Linked DNA regions of Notamacropus eugenii. The protein of the gene in region 1 purifies or fractionates together with the protein of each later gene. This does not show direct contact. Links are inferred from orthologs where the notes say so. Each region holds a gene or a part of one and is shown on either strand. Other genes may lie near its edges.

Region 1 (9,615 bases):
CAGCAGAGAATTGACCCATACTTTGTTGCATCTCAGCTTCAGAGGCTGCACTGAGTGTACAATCATCTACAAACAGAAGATCATGCACTAACATTCCCTCCACTTTAGTCTTTGCTTGTATCCTTTTCAAATTGAAGAACTTAGGAAGATTTTGAGGATCACCTACCAGACATTGAAGTCCTTGCTCAAGCTGAACTGCCAAGCATTTAAACTATGCTTCAGCACAACTACAATGGGCTAGCCATGTTGTTCGAATGCAAAATACACGCTTGCCAAAAAGACTATTTTATGGAAAACTCACATGGGGCAGGAGATCACATGGTGGTCAGAAGAAGCAATACAAGGACACTCTCAAGGTCTCTCTCAAGAATTGTGGAATTGACTGTGCAACATGAGAGACACTGCACAGGACCGCCTAGCATGGCATGTGCACATCACAAAAGGTGCTGTGCTCTATGAGCAAAGCAGAATTGAGAATATGAGTACAAAGTAAATGTAGGTTGCGCAAATTTGGAGTATCCACCATAAATATTCATACAGACTACCTGTGCCCAGTCTGTGGTAGAGCATATCGAGCTCATATTGGTGTGATCAGCCATAGCTGGTCACACTGAAACTTCACTTTATCATGGTGATGTCATTTTGGTCCTCTTAGAAAATGAAGGATGACCACCAACCAAGGATAATTACATATGAATTCTGCTAACAACATAGAAAGATAATTAAATCCATGGAAACTGATGACAATACTAAAAGAAAGAATATATATGTGTGGTTGCAGTTTGTCCTTCCTTCTCGAAGAGGACCATGACTTCAAGGAGATGATGATATGACTTGCAATTGACTTTGATTTAAGTGAGGGAGGACTGTGCAAGGTCACCAGCCTCACTTTTTCCTCCAGAGCCATCTGGGTCCAGTGGCCAGATATTGATCAGGATGACTGGAGATGATCCAGGATGCAGTGGGAAAGATACAGACAGAGAGATAGAGAGAAATCCAGAAGAGAGCCTTGAGGAATACCCACAGTTAGGGGACACAGTATGGTTGATGAACCACCAAAGGAGATCGATAAGGAGTGATTAGACAGGTTGAAAGAGAGCCAGAATTGAGCGGTGACACAAAAGCCAGAGAATATTCAGGAGAAAATTGTGGTCAACGGTGCCAGCTGGAGTAAATAGATCTAGAAAGATGGGGACTCAAAAAAGCGCATAAAATTTAGTAATTAAGAGATCACTGGTAACTATAAGTTTGATTCCTTAATCAGTTATTACATTAAACAATATTTCTAATTATTTAGTACAATGTCTAGCCTATAGTAGGCTTTTAATAAATTATTATTTCCTGTTCCTTCCTAAGAACAAACAAGTAATAATAAAGTCACTGAATATACTATTTGTTAATGATTCAATTAATAATAGACATAGATACTTATTTCCAATATTTTATCTGTGAGAATGACTAGCCACTTCAAACTCTCACTGCTACTGCGGATGACTTGTCTTCTCTTTTGAGAATAGTCTCATACTATTTATCCAGCATAACAAATAACTGGCCAGAAAAATATTTGTTTTGAGACAGAAAAAATCCTCAAGATAAAGGTTATAAGTTTCATAAAGAATTTTCACTATTCTCAATCAATTTCTTAAGCACCTACTATGTGCCAGGCACTATGCTAAGAGCTGAGGATTCAAGAAGCAAAATATAGTTCCTGCTCTCAAGGAGTTTATAGTCTAATAGAAGAGACAACATGCCAACAAATATATACAAAACGAGTTATATAAAGAATGCATAGGAAATAATTAAGAGGATTTGGGAAAGACTTCCTGTAGAAGATGAGATTTTGGTTGGGATTTAAAGGAAGCCAGGCAGGATAGTAAGCAGAGTTGAAGAGGAAAAGTCTTCCAGGTTGGGGGTGGGGACTAGACTAGCCAGAGAAAACTTATTTTATTTGGTCTTTCTCTAGCTGTGACAGGAAAATAAGCTCTTCTGCATTGAATGGCAATGGTTACTCTTCAAGCTTTTCTGTGCTTAAAAGAGCCTGTAATAATTTCTCTAAAGAGACATTTGGAAACAGAGGTTACAAATACAGAACTAGACCAATGAGAGTTCAAAACAGGGAGAGAGGAAGACTCAGGTCCTGCCTCTGATAAATATTAGCAGTGTGATTGCAAGTAAGTCACTGCCTATATGTAAAAAATATTTGTAGCCACTCTTTTTGTGGTGCTAAAGAATTGGAAATTGAGGGATGTTTATCAATTGGGGAATGGCTGACCAAATTGTGGCATATGATTGTGATGGATTACTACTGTACTGTAAGAAATGATGAAGGGGGTGGTTTCAGAAAAAAAAAAAAAACATGGCAAGACTTATATGAACTGATGCAAATTGAAGTGAGAAGAATCAAGAGATCATTGTGCATCATAACAACAATGTTGTAGTAATGATCAAACTGTAAAAGACTTGGCTATTCTGATCGATACAATGGTCCATGATGATTCCAAAGGACTCATGATGAAAAAATGCTAGCCACCTCCAGAGAGAGAGAGAGAGAATGGGTGAATTCTGAGTGTAATTTAAAGTATAATTTTTTTTGCTCTTTTTTGTGATATGGCTAATGTGGAAATATGCTTTGCATAATTTTACATAGATAATTGATAGAACGTTGCTTGCCTTCTCAATGGGTGGGGATGAGGCAAGGAGGAGGGGGAGAATTTGGAACTCAAAATTTAAGAAGAGAAGTATGTTAAAAATAAATAATACACATTTTAAAAATTGAGAAGTAAATAAAAGTAAGTCACTATATCTCTTTGCTTCAAACAACTCCCTATGATAGGAGCTCCCAATTTTTATTGTTCCCCATATCTTTCACTTTTCAGTAAATTTTGCTATGCCACCAGTAAATATGAAAGGAAATAAATTCTAGATTTTTCATGCATACATGCATAAAAAATAAAATAGAGATTAACTTTTCTTCTCTAAGGGTACATAAAAAGTTTAGTAACTTTATTGACTAAATCACTTGGGAGTTTCTGGATTATCTCAATAGGATTATGGACATTTTGGACAATGGACTTGTACCCTTTGGGTTTAATGTAAACTACAATTTTAAAATCTCTGCTCCAAGATTTAAGTTAACGGTTGGTGAAAGAGTTAATAAGCTTTCCAAGGCATCTAATTTATTGTTAGGGAGTGAAATAGGTACTAGAAGAATGGAACTGAATAAGTGTCAACAATCTAACATAAAGGAGCAGGACAAAGATAAACTTGAAGTGCTTGCTCTCCCAGCATATTGTCAACCTAGTTAAAGAGATCTCAACTTTTCTATCTTCCTCCCTTTCTCATTAACACAAGTAACCAAGGGCTTCTTGGGATAGTGATGGTTTACATTTTCTTCTCTTGACAGAAGGGCCTTAATTTCTATTGCTTCCCCGCTAAGCTGTAACCCTATCTTCCACCTCTCAGTTCTATCATTTTTTAAAATTATCTTTCTAGGTGCTCAAGAACTAATAATATCTGGGATATTCTGGAATATTGGTTGCTGGTTATTGTAGCCTAATAAATGCTTGGAATATTGCTGTTTTTATATAATATAACAAGGCTTTGATTCAATTCAGCAATTTAATCAATTACTGACTAGGTTCAGGAACTATGCTAGATAATAAAGATGCAATGAAAAAAATTTCCCTGCCCTCTCAAGGCATCTGGAAATATCACTAAATATTCAATCAACACATGCTTATTAAATTTTTCTTTATGAATAAGTCTATTAAGTGCTGGGCACCTCCATCAATCAGTAAACATTTATTAAGTACCTACTGTGTAGCAGGCACTGTGCTAAACACTAGGGATACAAAAAAGAGGCAGGAGTTTACAGTATAATGGGGGAAACAACATGGAAACAATATATAAAAAGCATATATTTACATGTGTGTATATATATATACACACATGTATACATTATACATATAGATATACACAGAGAGAAAGACAGAGAGAGAGAGAGAGAGAGAGAGAGAGAGAGAGAGAGAGAGAGAGAGAGAGAGAGAGAATAGGAAATAACAGCAGGAAGGTTGAGGCTTGGCTGGGCAATATAATAAGGGGGCTAAAGATTCCAAGAGAGGAAGACAGTGTAGAGTTGAATTTGTTCCCCAAGGCATCAAGTTGGGGAAAAAAGTAAAGAGTGGCTAGTGCAGAGGAGATGGCCTGGTGGAGTATGTAATGGTCAGTGACAGGAAGTTACAGTGCAGTTTGAGCAAGGTTTTGAAAGCGAAAACAGAGAGAGAAGTGAAAAACCAAAAAGGCTATGACTGAATAAGGGGATTTTAGAATTCTTGAACACAAAGGTGGTACATTTGTGAGTGATGGTAAGACCAGGTGTATGATCATCTTTGTGTGTGACTGTGGTTGAGTGTAGCAATAGCTCATCCGGGAGGTGAGTGTGTTCAAGAACCGAGTAGTAGTTGTTTGTTCTGGAGGTGAGGCCATGCCATGCAAGTGAATTGGATTTAAGTGAGGCAAGGCTGTGCAAAGTCAGCAGCCTCACTTTCTCCTCTGGAGCCATATGGGTCCTGACTGGAGATGGCCCTGGGTGCATATGGATTCTTTCAAATACCCGATAACTCACTCCTGCAGTCCTGGAAGTATTTGTCCCAGGGTATTTGAAAAAGAATCCATGTATATGCTGAAGTCCCTTAGCCTGAGGGCAGGAATTGGGAAAGACCTCAAACTTGGTCCCCTCCATTCAGTCAGTTCCAGGATCTAATGAGAGGCAGAATCATCTAGCATAGGCGCCTCATATCTGCCTCAAAGTAGAATGAAATATAGCTTTAAAAGGTCAGTGGGCATGTATGAAGTTTGTGCCGCCAGATGGGATACAAAAAAGCAGTCATCTCTTATTATCAATCATTTATTAGTCACCTCTACGTGCCAGTCATTGTGCTGGGTGCTGGAGGTGAGTACAAACGACGAGGCTGGCACAGTGGTGAAACCTATGGCAAGGCAGTGCCCAGGCCTTCTCTGTCTCCACAACTGTCATTGTTGCCTGCGGCTCTGCGCAGAGACCTGCAAACGCTGCGGAAAGGGATGCTCACTCCCTTTTAAAGGGGAGGGTGGGCGGGAGAAGGGGCTATGAAACATTGTAGCGCAGCAGAGCACGCCCGAGAGCTAGCTCGGCCTCTCCTTGACAGCGCTTTGGGATAAGTCAAGGTTAATAGCCAGCAGGCCCGGCTTGGGACAGTCTCTCTGCAGTGCCGACTTGCAGTCTGAGCTCAGGGTCTCCAAGCTGCAGAGGCGACCGAGCGCGGAGGAGAGACCCCAGCGAGGGGTCAGTCCGGGCCCGCGTCCAGGACAAGCGCTCGAGTGCCAGTCTCCGCCCAATGCGCGTCTCCGGGTGGAGATCTGTGGGCTAAGGAGATGCCAGCCACGCCTCCACCCCTCGTTATCTGCCCGCCTCCCTCCTCCATCTTTCCTTTCCTTCCTCTGGGGCTCCCCTCTTCATTCTCTCCCGCCGAGCCTCTCATTGGCGCCAGAGCCCGGGTGACGCTACAGCTGGCGGGTGGGCCAGCCCCGGGCTGGGGTGTAAGTGTGTTAGTGTGGGGAGAGAGGAGGGCGCGGGGAGCTGGGCGGGTGGAGTCTGCGCGTGTCTGATGAAACCCAGCCCCTGGATTTCGTCCGACCTCCGATTTCATTCAGTGAAGCGCGGGGGCCTGGGAGGCGGTGCCTGGAGCTCGGAGGTGTAAAGAGAGGGAGCTGGGCAGCTGAGAGTAGACGGGGAAACTGCCGCGCGTGCCACGCAGCTCCGCTCCGCAGCAGAGGCAGCCACAGCGCGCACTGCCCGCCAGCATCCTCCTCGGGACACCCGCCCCGGTCACGCATCTTCCTCCTGGGGACCCCGTGACAGGCCACAGTGGCAACACCTCCATCCATCCATCCCTCCCAGGCTCTCCCCGCCCCGGCACGCCGCATCCCGCCTCCACCCAGGCGGGCTCCCTTGACAGCCGCCCTGCGCGGTGAGTGACCAGTGCCTCCGCTCTCCTTTCGGGCTGTTCTCCAGTCTGGGGTCACCTTGGTTGGGTGCCCAGGCACTGGCGGGGCTAGGGGATGGAGAAGGGCGCATATGTTGGAGCAGGAAGGGCCCCCGCCCGCCGGCTGGGGCTTTTGCATCCTCCGGAGGGAGGACCTGGGCGGTGGGACGGCTTCGGGGCCAGAGAGGTTTGGGTCCAGCACCCCGGGGTACGGGAACCATGGGGATGCGCGCTGGCTCCACATGCACTCCGTGCGCCGCGGAGTCCATTTTGCTTCCTTAAAGGAGCAGCGTGGTGTATGATGCAATATGTATACTAAGGAAGCGTGGACAGCCGGGCGCTTCACGGTGCCCTCCCCCTTTCCTCCGCGGGGTGGGTCCCCGCGACCCCCGGGAGCCGGGATGCGTAGGGAGCACGGAGGGTGGGCACCGTCCCCGGGCTGAACAGGTTAAAGGCATCACCAGACTGGTGTGGCTCTCGGGAGGGACCTTCCCTTACATGGCGCTCTGCACGGCTCACCCCGCCACGAGGCCCAGGGATGTGTCACCCAGCGCTGCTGCCGTGGCTCCCATTTCCTCCCTTTATTCTCTCCTTCTCCAGCCACCCGGGGTTATCCCGAATCAGGTGGGCGGCCTTCCGGAGGAGCTCCATACGGAACCCAACCCCAGCTGTCTCTGCATCCGCGGCCACCACCTGCACCTGGTCTCTAAGCCAAGGTCGCCCTGTGCCCCTCTCCATTTTGTTCCGTCCAGGAAGATCTCCCTAGGTGGGCTCATGGACTCTCTAGTTGGACTCCCAAAGGCCTACGTAGCTCTAACTTTCACGGCTGGTGGCGGGTGGGTGAGTGGGTAACCTGCCCCAACTTTACGTATCGTTCTCATTTTCTTTTATGCCCGATAAAACTCCACACACTCAAGTTAGATTATGATTAAAAAACTTGCCTGTGCAAAGGACGGGCCACCGTAATTACGGCTTTTGTTTTACTACTTCTATGAACAGCTTTAGTCTCTTCCCCTTTTCAGTGGGTGTGGAAGGTAGGAGTTTAACTTTATTTGATTAGGACAAGGAGCATGTGCTTTCTGTAAAAGAGCTACGTTTACTCATGAACTCACACTGCCATGCTTTCAGAAGTAGTAAAAGCCGGTGACTTGGGTTTGGTTTCCATGCGTAGGTAGAGGAGAAGGTTGTCCAGTTTTACATTTAACTTTTTACGACTGAAATACGACCTACATTGTTTTCCTTTTCATAATGTTTTCATGTGGAACTTTAATTAGTCGTTCCATTTTATCTTCAAGCATCTAGCCCAGTGTATTTGCTTAAATAATTGCAACTGTGCTCTGTTTATTCCCATGACATTTTCAGTTGGTCTCAGTGGAAAACAGCGTCGTCTTTATGGAAACACCCTTTTGTCATTAAAACAAAAGAGCTTAAAGAGTTTTCATTCTAGACCTGAAACTTGGTAGACAAAAAGGGCCAAATAAAACAAAATATTTTGAAGTTGAACCTGATTTGTCACAAGGTTATATTATCCACTAAAAAAAAAATAAGATAACAATTTGCAGATTAATCGAGGAAATTGTAAATGGAAATGTAATAATGACGGCATGAAAAGACATAGGACAGGTTTTGTTAAATAATGGGTCGTAGTTTAATTACCTGAAAAGTGGATCGCAATGGTATTTATTAAATGCCTGTCAAGCATTTGGTGCCCAGCTCCACGGAAAACAAACTTGAAAGACAGGTCAGGTCTCTGACCCTAGGAGCTTGAATTCTAAGAGAGACATATGTTAACTATTTGTAAAGAGGTCTCTCTACCAGTGATTAGGGGAGTGATAGGAGTTACTATCCGTAGTGTCTTAAATCAAGTACTTTGAAAATTAGTTTTGCCTATTTTTGAGATTCCAGATTTTTAAATGGATCATTTCTATACCATTCAATCCATCAAATGTCCTAGAAAGAATATGGGTTTATTTAATCCAGTGAAGAGTTTGAAATAGGAAGTGTGCCTGCTTAGACAGGAAAGTGAATCTCTTATCCATGGGCACTTTCCCTCATTTTAATCTTTGGATTTTTGTGTTAACCTATAACATAATAGAAAATTAGGATGTTAGAGACAATGAGAAACTCACTCTAGTCTCAGGGTCACATTTAATATTTCATTTATATTAGAACTTGACATTTTTTCCAGACTTATTTCCTGTTTTTGAGGAAAGTCAGCCTTACCTAGTTTATATTCCTTGCAATTTAGCAGGCAGTTATTGAGGTCCTACTGTCTGTTGGACACAGTGTTAGGGGCTAGGGCACTTGGGGGACTGGGGGTGGAAATGAAGTGTTCATTCTAAGAGAGCTAGACTTGATTTTTTAAATGTAGGTCCTTTTCCTCCAAGGCTAGCACTGTTTATGCACATTCTTCTTGAAGTCCTGGCACTCACTCTTTGCTGTGTTCTCACACCTTTTACCCCCTCAGCTTCTTCCTTGGTCCCAGGGAATGCGTCATTTTTTTTGACATTCTATCTCTATTGCTTAGCACTGTGCTTGGCATATGGTAGGTGCTTATTAAATGCTTGTTGATTGATCCATCAATCAGGTAAGAGTACTTACAGCACAAAGACCTGAGTTCTAGTCAGAATTTTAACACTTGTCATTCCATTCATTCATCAAACATTTAAGAGTCTACTGTGTTTCATGATGGTGTCTAGTTGGTGCAGTAGATAGAGTTCTGGGCCTGGGGTCAGGAAGACTCATCTTCCTGAGTTCAAGTCTGACCTCAGACATGACCCTGGGAAAGTCCTGTAACCCTGCTTGCCTCAGTTTCCTTATCTGTAAAATGAGTCAGAGAAGGAAATGACAAACCACTGCAGTATCTTTGCCAGGAAAACGCCAAATGAGGTCACAAAGAGTAGGGTACAACTGAATGACTATGTTCTATGATGAATATTTATACCATGCACCATAGATAATAGGTTGAGTCAGAAGGAAACTTAGAGGCATTTACCCCTTAACTTTACAGATGAAAAAATCTGAGGCTCCACTATATGAAAGTCATATATATCATTTGCTGGAAAGTCACACAGAGAATAAATGCTTTTCTTGATTTTCTGACTAAGTTCAGCTTCTGCTCAATGTTGACTAAATGCCTATTGTGTGTTAGTTGTTGGGGTATAAAGACAAAAATGAAGTAGCTCCTACCTTCAGTGTACTTAAATTCTATTGAGGAAAACAACTTGTTGATATACGTACATACATACACACACACATATATATAGGATAAATTAATCCCCTGTATTACCAGTAGAGAACCCCCATCACCTCCTTTGTTACAACTATAGCTACCATTAGGAGATCGTGATCTTGGTGGAAGTAGCTTAGTAGGTTGGGTAAAGATGGCGCAGTCCTGGAAGAACCTTTGAGAAAGACTTTGGTTGAATATAAGACCATCTTAGTTATCAGCCTAACATTAATCAGTCACCTATCATAAGGCGGGAGGGCTGGAGCTGATAATCTCTTCCTGGGGCTTTCTCATGCATGGCTTCTGCATTCTCCTAGCTTTCCTGACCTCATCATGCTAGACCTGGGAGCTTCTCTCTTCTAT
Region 2 (9,614 bases), on another chromosome or scaffold:
AAAAAAACTTGTAGAAAACAAAATTTTAATAGATCTATTAATAGGCTGATTAACTAATATCAGCTTGAAAAAGGCCAGAGGTTCCACATTTGCAGATTTCCTCAAGGATGATAATTTAATAGAGCTTAAAGCATTTGAAGATTTTAAGCAACACACAAACTGAAAGGTCATGCATTTCCTGAGCTATGTCCATGGCACACTGAAATTACTTATTACATGCCTCAGTTTATCCCTGAAGGCCCTCATGTCCACTACTAGAGCCCTTCTGAAGGGTGTTCGTTGTCATCTCTGGCTATTCATGGTGGGACTGACGAATAGCCTTTTTTTCTAAAAATAATCCCCACATAGATGATGCTTCATAACACTTCCTGAACAAGATGGTATCATACACCCAAGAAAAATAAACATACCCACTTTACAGATAAATAGTAAGTCACATAGTTTGGCAGTCAGGAAGTCTGTTATAACTATAGTTAGTCTTTTCCACCTTTAAAACCACTCTAGAATCTACACTCAGGTGTTATTAAATACCTTCTTCAGACAAGAAAGGGAAATTAAAAGTTGAGTAACCATTCTTCTACTGTGTTTTATTAACATTCTGGAGGGCTTCAAGTTTGCAGTGTCTGCATGTGGCATACTAAGGATCTCATTTAAATTATGCAGAAGTAAAGTTTGCAAATACTTTTTGTTCATTAAAGCTAAATGAGGCAAATTAATATAATAATAGTAATAGATTACACTTGCAAAGCTCTTTGAGGATCTGTAAAACATGCTGCATACAGTATGTCCTTTGATCCTCAAAGTGAACCTGAAGTAGATACTGATAGGATCCCAATTACACAGAAGAGGTAACCTGGGCTGAGAGAGGCTGTCTAGTCTGAAGAGTCACAGATAGCGTCTGACACCAGATTAGAACTCAACGCTGTCATGCCTCCAAATCCAACTCTCTCCACTAAAGCAAGTTGCCTCCTATAAACTACAAAAATAAAACCATAGATATGCTAAAATTATAAAGGCAAAATGATATTCAATCAATAAGCATTTATTAAGCACCTTCTATGGACACTGTTCCAGGGAAGAGAAAGATGAAACAGTGGCTACCCTCAAGAAGCCTTCGATCTATGGAGGGTAGAGAAGATACACAAACATGGGTATGTACAAAAGAGAAGGTAATTTGGGGATCTAGGCATTAGTGGATAAAAGATGGGGAAGGGGGGCAGTTTTAGCTAAGCCTTGAAGGAAACGGATTCTAAAAGGCATGTTCTGTGCAGGAAAAAAAAGAAGGGAAAGGTCCATTGAGGCAGATGGGGCAATGCCATTAGATGGTAAAGAAGCTAAATTACTCACCTCACATGCAACACTTCATCACCTGTCTCTCTGTCTCTGCAGTTCCTCCCTCTTGGAATATACCCCCTCCTTACTTCTCTCTGTGTGGCTGAACAGAAGTGGGTATGAAGAGTAACACTGATGGAAAGGTAAGTGGGACCAGACTGTGAAGGACTTGAAATGTCAAAGGAGTTTATATCTGACCCACAGGTAACAGTGAATTGCAATTGCTGGCGTTTACTGAGACGAGCCATGTATGTCACCTTGGCAACTAAGCGGAGGATGGATTAGATGGGGAGAAACTTGAGGCAAGGAGACCAAAGAAAGGGCAATGGCAGGCGTCCAGGCAGGAGGGATGGGCTTGAACTGGGGAGCAGTTGTATGTGAGGGGAGAGAAGATGGATGTGAGATGTTGAGGTAGAAACTGATTTAAATCAAAACTTAGAAAATACTTTCTCTTACAGTCATTTCGTTGTACATCCTGATAACATCCAATTAAATGATGGCAGCGTCCCCACAACTACCTTCATATGTAAGTACAGAGAAGAAACAGAAATTGGTTTCAGTTCTTTTTCTAGTTTCTAAATACACCTCTTGTCACTCAAACACACTAGTATTTAATGTGCCTTATTACAATGATCTTTAAAACTTTCTGTAGCTTTCTACAGAATGTACTTCAATGACACTCCTGTGTCAGCTTAATTCAATTCCAATATCAAAGGCCTGTTATTGGCAAATGACTACATGTGGTACTGGAAATATAAAAACAAACTGTTTCAGTCTTGAAGAAACTTACATTCTGAGAGGGAAATTATTAAAATTCAAATGAGAAAGTTTTTCATTCTAATCTAACATTCAATGTACTCTACAACAACCCTGAACCTACCTAACAAGCAGCTTGGTGTGGTGGATAAAAAGCAAACCTAGAATTCGGAAGACCTTGGATTCAAACGCCACTTTTAACCCATCTCTCAGTATTCCAGGCAGCTCTCTAAGACCCCAGGTTGCAAACAAGGTGCTGACCCTCCAAAGGACTAGGGATTTTCCACACCCAAAAAGTTCCCCATACCAAAGAAATCACAAGTCCTACTCATTCCTAAACATGTATCTCCATAAGGTTTATTTTAACAGCTCCCTTTCTGTTCTTTATTCCAAGTGATGTACAATTTACCAAACCCTTTTATAAAGGGGAAGGAGGAGCACTCAATTCAAGTAGTTAGCCTAAGACACGTTTACATCTACCTAAATCGGTACCTTCGTGATTGTTTTGAAATGTAAATTTACAAACCAAAATACAGCCCAAAATTCAACTACAAGCCTACATTGAGTTTCTTCTCCAAGCATCTCCCCAAATAGCTAACACTTTTCTGTTCTTTTCACCCAGCCCACTAAAACTTCCTGCGTTCTCTTCAGACTTCCTGATGCTCGGGGGTCTCTGGGGTCCCCTTTCATCCATTTTATCCATCAGAAGGGAAGCTCCACGAGGGTTAAGGGGCTGTCTTTCTTTCTGCTTGTATTTCTACTGCCAGAGTGAAGTGCAGCGCCCGGCTCGTAGTAGGGGCTTCATCTCTCAACTTATTAATCCCCTCCCAACACCAATGCACACTCGCATTCTCTAGGAACTCGACCCAACGGAGTAAGTCACTTTGGGGGGATAGTCTGCTCTTGCCCTTCCAAAATCCAGCAGAAAGCGCTACGTTTGTCCGAGCTGGCCGCGGCTCCCGTCCGGCTCGGAAGCCCCTCGCGCCTCCATCACCCCCGAAGTCTCAGGACTCTGAGCCCCGGATCCGCGGCGCTTCGGGCGCCCCCTCCCCACGAGCTCCCCGGGCCCCACCGTGAAACCGACTCGGGTCCATTTCGCCGGCTCGGAGCCTCGGCTGCCGCCCCTCCAGCCTCCGGCCCCGGCTCCCCGCAGGAGGACTCCAGTGACCCCGAGACAGCCCCCGGGGGGACAGAGGCATGCCCCGCCGCAGCCCCGGGAGCGCCCCCGCCCCTCACCTAGCTTGGAGCGGGACTCTTCCAGCTTCTGTATCTGGTTCTCCAGAAAGAGCATCGCCACGGCGAAGGCCACCACCGCCAGCAGCTGCGTCTTGGGCGGCATCATAATCCTGAGGAGCCCCATGAAACCCGCCGCCGCCGCCGCCGCTGGGATCACGACATACCGCGGGGGGGCGGGGAGCGAGGCCCCGGGGGGCGGGGAGCGAGGCCCCGGGGGCCGGGGGGGGGGGGGGCGCCGGCAGGAGCGAGCCGGAGCCCCGAGGCCGGCGGAGCGGGAGCCGAGCGCCGCAGCAGCAGCTCCTTCCTGCCTTCCCTCCCTCCCACCACCCGCCCCCGCCCCCGGCCACCAACGCCGACGCCGCCTGCGCCCGCCGGGGCTCCTCAGCCTCGGCAGCCGCCGCCGACCGCAAGGCCCCCGCGCTCCGCCGCCCTCGGGCTCTCGCTTCTCCCAAGCCGGAGCAAGCCCGGCACCTTCCCGGCTCGCTCCCTCGCTCTGCTCACCCGCCTCCCTTCCCTCCTCCACTGCCTGCCTCCCTGCCGGAGCCCAGCTCCAGCACCAGCACCGAGGCTGCGACTGCGCCGCCCTCGGCCCCGCCCCCCCGCTTGGGCCCGCCCTCTCCCCAATACGCACTCACGCACGCAACTCAGCAGCCCCGCCTCCCGGCCTCAGCAAACACTCCGCCCTCCCTTCCCAACCTGTCCTCGCAGCCGCTATTGGACCCCGCCTCTGCCACCGTGTTTGTAGGGGGTCTTTCGCTCGAAATTACGATTGGTTTGCTCAGCTGCCATTAAAATTAGCGCAGGAGGTGATTGGCTGGCTAGGGAAGGAACGAGCGTTTAAGGGGCCCCTCAAAAGGAATAGATTTGTAGGGGTCCCAATAACGTGCCTGACCGTAGGGGAAGGCGAGCAAATCAAAAAGACTCTCGCACCCCCTTGATATTGCAGGCGGCCGCCCCCGGGAGTTTTGCAGCCCATCAGATGGCTCGGAAGTGGGCCGCTGTGCGCGGCGAGCTGAAAGCTAACGACACTGAGCGTCAGGCTCAACGCCGGCCACCCCAGCGGAGGGGCCTTCGGGCCACGTCAGGACCCTAGCATAACGGCGGCGATAGCGGCGATGGCGGTGAGCGCGCAGCGGGGTTTTGCTCCGGCGTTCGGGCTGCGGCTGCTGCTGGCGTCCGTGCTGCAAGCGGTGAGTGGCGGGTGCCTTCGTAGCTGCCTGGGGGCCCGGAGCGAGGGCCTGGGGACCCGGAGCGAGCCTTGGGAGCCGCGCCTGAGAAGGGCTACGTGGCGATATCCGGCCCCGCCTGGCCTCTCTCCTCAGTCTAGGCCAGGCCTCGTTCTTGCCCGCCTCCCCGGGCCCAGTCTGGCTATCGTCGTTGAGCTCTTTGAATCGCCTACTGTGTGCCAGTCCCTCTGTGCTAAAAGCTGGGGGTTAAAGAAAAAGGGGGGGGGCGGGCTATGTCTTCCTTCAGAGGGCTTACGGTCTAACAGGGAAGCAATAGGTAAATACGTACAAGTAAGAATTAGAAAGCGTAAATTAGAAACAGGAAAGCGCTTCATATAGAAGGTAGGATTTTAGTTGGACCTTGAAGAAAATGAAGTGACGGCATTCCAGGCAGGGGTCGGGAGGTGGAGCGTCTTGTGTGGTGAACCTCTAGAAGGGCCGTGTCACGGGGTCACAGTCCAGGAAGACTGGAAAATGGGGGGGCTCGTTATGAAGGGCTTTGAACCCCAAATAGAGTATTTCATATTTGATCGTGAAAGTAATAAGGAGCTGCTGGAGTTTGAGGGGTCACAGTCGATAAACATTAAGTGCCCGCTGTGTGCCCCATAAAATGCTGGGTGCTGGTCCTTACCCTCTAGTCTGTGGAAGGTATATAAGCATGTACAAATATAAACCAAAAAAGAAAATAATGTGAAGTGCTCATAACGTAGGGAGTCAGGAAAAGCATCGGGAGGTGGCACCTCAGCCGTCCTTTGAAGAAGCCAGAGATTGGGAGGGTGTTCCAGATGTGCAACGACAGGAGAGGAAGCTTTGGCTTGTTTGGTGTGTTGGAAACAGTTCTTATAGTGTAAACTTTCTGTCTCCCTGATACTTAGTAGCACTTACTCATTGGTGTGTTGGAAACAGTTCTCATAGTGTAAACTTTCTGTCTCCCTGATACTTTGTAGCACTTACTCATTGGTTGTGTTGTATTCAATCCATCCCGTCAATTCCCAGTAAGATTAAAGAATGTATCAGAAGTCGGGCAAGGGGCGGCTGACCCACTAGAATTCTAAGGCAGCTTCTCTGAGACCCAGAACCACGCTGGCTTGCCTCCTTGGTAGAGAAGAGATCTAAATCTTTCAGTTCTTCTAACCTTCCTAATCTCATCCTACCAGCTCCTTCTGCCCTTTGGCTTCATTTCAACTAATTCCCTTTTCATTCTCTTCTTGGGACTTGCCCTGCCCTTCAAAATGAATAGATTGCAGCTAAAATTTCTGATTTTAAACGCCAAATGCTTGAATAAGTGCTTGACTTAAAAAATTAAGCACCTAAATGTAAAGTGTGTAGTTGTAGTAGTAATATCAGCAGCTCACCCTAGTCTTGCACTTAATGATTCCAAAAATACTTTTTGCAGAGTGACTTATTGCTGTTCTTTCTCTAACCTCCCCTCCTTCCCAGTGCCTCTTGCTCCACTCCTCCCCTACTCCAGTAGAACACTCCCTTGTACACTGAGTGTCCATTTAAGCATACTAAAGCAACATGGCCTTGTCTGGATGCCTCACATCCCACTTGTAGTCTGCCACCTTTCGGCTTTAAAGCAGGAGGCGTGGGTTATTGATAGTCCTCTGAAGTTATGGTTGGTCAGACATCGATCTGAATTCAGAAATCGTCCACCCTTGTTTTTCTCTACATACTGGTAGTCATTTTGTATTTTCTCCTGGTTCTTCACCCTTACTCTTCATCACTTTTTCTCAAGTTTCTCTGAGTTCATGTTTCTTACAACCCAGTAAGATTACAGAAGTCTCACTCTCTTTCTGTTATGCCACACTTAACTTTTCCACATTGAAAAGTGAGTACACATATACACACAGTACTCAAAATGCCTCAAGTTTTTTTGTTTTGTTTTTTGTATTCCAATAAATACCCATATATAGAAAATTTAGATTTGTCTATGCAATTGAAACATTGCTGCCTGCCATGAGCTTAGTAGAACACAGTTTTAAGAAGTGTTTCTTAAAGGAGGGGGAAGTAAATGTCTCAGTATTGAGGCAGTTAATACCAGGAAGGTTCCTTGATGTGATCCAAGTTAAGAGGTTTTTGGGTAGCATCAGGTTACTGTTTACACAGTATGAGAAAGCTGAACTTTCTTCTTCTTCCGTTCGTACCTTCCTGCCCTTTAAATGATGCTGCCACCCCAAAGGAACAAAATCTGAAGTTGCTTACCGTATTTTGATCTTGTGGTAGTAGAATAATATGCACCATGATGGAATAGAGCTGCTCTGCTTGGGGAATCAAGGGACAGCAGTTCTTTGTAGCATGGCTACCTAGTACATGTGAACTTGGCAAGGCATTTAATCTTGTGGGGTCTCCGTTTCTCTATAAAATCTGCGGGTTAGACAGTTATTAGTTGGACTACTAAAGGCAACTAAAGATTATCTTTAAGGTTTCTTCCAGCACTAAATAATATGATCCTAGGAAGTAGGTAATTATAGAACCTTTTGAAAAAGTGAGTTAAATGACATTTGAAGTGAACCAGTCTTAAAATTTTATCCTGATATCACTCACCCTTAACACTCCTTTTTTCTTGTAACTTTCATCCTTCTTTTCCGTTAATACCAAAAGGCCATACACTTTCCTATGAATTCTTTGAAATTCAGTAAGTTATAACTCATAATAGTCCAACCTCATTTTGTTCAAGACCTACTTAATTTATGTCATAGGCGTAAAATTACAACTAAATAAAATCTGTCTTTAAGAGTCTTTAGTGGTACAAATAAGATCAATTTATGTCAATAAATGCTAAATGTGATTCTCTCCAAAGCAAGAATTGAGTTTGAGGTTTCTTTTTTGAAAATTGAAATCTAAAAATACTGGTACTCTGAAATTTTAGGTAATAATCAAAATTATTTAAAGACTATACATTTTTTTTACTCTAGATATGTTTGGGAAATATCTAGCATCAAAGTGCTAGATAAATGTGAAACACTACTATTATTATTACATACAGTTTCACAACCAACTGGACATCAAAATGTTTGCCTAAGCTTGGTCTGGAGCTAAATTTTCCCCTGAAGAACAACATTAGTTACTTAACCTCCAGAATGTTCACCCTTTCTCTTTGTCACTAGCTAAAATTTGGACAGCGTTGTCACAAGGATAAATGGCCAGTCTGTATTCTGGTGGTAGTTTTGTAAGAGTGTCTCTGTGGTTTTCTAGGGTCCTTGAAATTACAGTAAATTGCTGCTTCCTTCACTTTGGTTCCCAGAGTGCTGTGTTTTAAGGTAGAATGCCTAGATGCAGAAGTGAAGAGCCGTAAATCCCAAACTAATGGTTCTTTAAAGTTAACATTTGAGAAAGTGGACTCTTGTGCCCCATGAAGTGGCTACTTTTCTGAAAGCACATTCTAAGTGTTCTTAATCTTCAGGAATGGAAGTATTCAGTGTGACCTAGGGGAGCTGTTTTCCTCAAATTTGAATTATACAAATCAAACTATCATCTCAATCTCAGACAATTTGTGGATGGATGTTCTTATAACTGTAAAAACAAAACTCTAGAAATCATGATGTCTGTATTATAATCCAGAGCTCTTTTTGTTCCCTTCCAAACAAATGTAAGCATACAGGGAAATGGTTAACTGAGGTTTCTAGTCATGTATATGGATTAATGTTTATACCATTAACATCTTTAAGGAAAAAAAATACCTCAAACACTTTAGTCTCTTTCTAGAAATAATCAGTAAATCTAGTCTTTTACAAAAGAGTTGACTTTACAAAGCTAAAAGATACCTTTGAATACTAAATAAGATTACATGATTTAATGATGACATTGTATTTTTAGCCCTCCCTTCACTCACTCACTCTTTTGTTAAGTCATTTTTCAGTCATGTCTGATTCTGTGACCCCATTTGGGGTTACCTTGACAAAGATACTGGTGTAGTTTGCAGGTTTGTTCTTCAGCTCGTTTAACAGATGAGGAAACTGAGGCAAACAAGGTTGAGTGACTTGCTCAGGGTCCCATAGCTAGTAAGCATCTGAGGCCAGATTTGAACTCAGGAAGATGAGTCTTCCTGACTTCTGTCCCAGTGCTATGCACCATGGCGCCACCTAGCCGCCAGACTTCAGCCAGACTGGTTTATTTGCTGTTCCTGCTTTCTCCATTCCATGTCTTGGCACAGGCAAAATTGATGCAATGCTGAATGCTCCATGCTAGGAATATACTGTCCCCTCACCCCCCCTGATTGGCATCTCCAGCTTTCTTCAAAGCTCTGCTCAAGTACCACCTTGAGCAAGAGGTCTTTACTGACCCCCTCAGCTACTAGTAGGGCCTATTCCCACAAAGTAAAAACAGTTTACTTTCTATTTATTTATGTGTAGACATACACATCATGTTTATGTGCCCCAGCCCCTTGCACAGTGCATGGCATATTACTAGTCACAGAGTAAATGTTTATTGATTTGTGCATATTTTGGATTAGGTTAAATTCATTTAAATCATTTAAAATTTTGTTCAGGAGAATAAGTAAATCACAACATGTAGCAAATTTAGATATCCTGATGATATATTGAAAAGCCTTTGTTCTATATTTTAATATGATTCTGTAAAAAGTAATTACAGATTTTTCTTTGAGGACCTACGTCTGGTCTCAGCAGAGATTAACAATCAGAAAAGAAACATTTAGTAAATGTCTGCTTTGCCCAAAGTGCTGGGCCAGGTTCTGTGGAACTTGCAAAATGTGGCTAAAACACCGTCCCTGACCTTGGAGCTTCCAGAGCTAGACTGTGCATGCCAAGGGGAGAGAGACAGACACATTTCATGTTTTCAGTTGAAGTTATAGTTGAAAGTACTATAAGCTTTTTTCATATATTTTTAGAGCCCTCTCTTCCTTCAAGATGCAGCTATTATCCCCTCCATCTCCAACCACCTTATGTTTATTTTGTAGGTATTTATTCACATATACGCATTCACCCCCACCCCCACATTTCTCCCCCTATGTGGAATGTAGGCTTTTTGAGAGTAGAGGCTCTTCCATTCTTTGGATTCCATCATGCCAGGCCCAGAATAGGTGTTTAGTAAACACTTATT

What was found.
Region 2: the proteins of SLC7A1 (region 1) and HS2ST1 purify together in Homo sapiens (co-immunoprecipitation; 3 studies listed by BioGRID and IntAct, counting the BioPlex papers as one, with this or other methods). This does not show direct contact. The link is inferred for Notamacropus eugenii from reciprocal best matches to the Homo sapiens genes SLC7A1 and HS2ST1.

Annotation. Positions count from the first base shown.
Region 1 is NC_092876.1:197,884,765-197,894,379, reverse strand, and holds the start of SLC7A1 (high affinity cationic amino acid transporter 1), read left to right. Parts: upstream 1-5,866; 5' UTR 5,867-6,008; intron 6,009-6,623; 5' UTR 6,624-6,789; intron 6,790-9,615. UniProt on the Homo sapiens protein: High-affinity, low capacity permease involved in the transport of the cationic amino acids (arginine, lysine and ornithine) in non-hepatic tissues.
Region 2 is NC_092873.1:496,495,016-496,504,629, reverse strand, and holds the start of HS2ST1 (heparan sulfate 2-O-sulfotransferase 1), read right to left. Parts: upstream 3,602-9,614; 5' UTR 3,449-3,601; coding exon 3,325-3,448; intron 1-3,324. UniProt on the Homo sapiens protein: Catalyzes the transfer of a sulfo group from 3'-phospho-5'-adenylyl sulfate (PAPS) to the 2-OH position of iduronic acid (IdoA) or glucuronic acid (GlcA) within the heparan sulfate (HS) chain and participates in HS biosynthesis.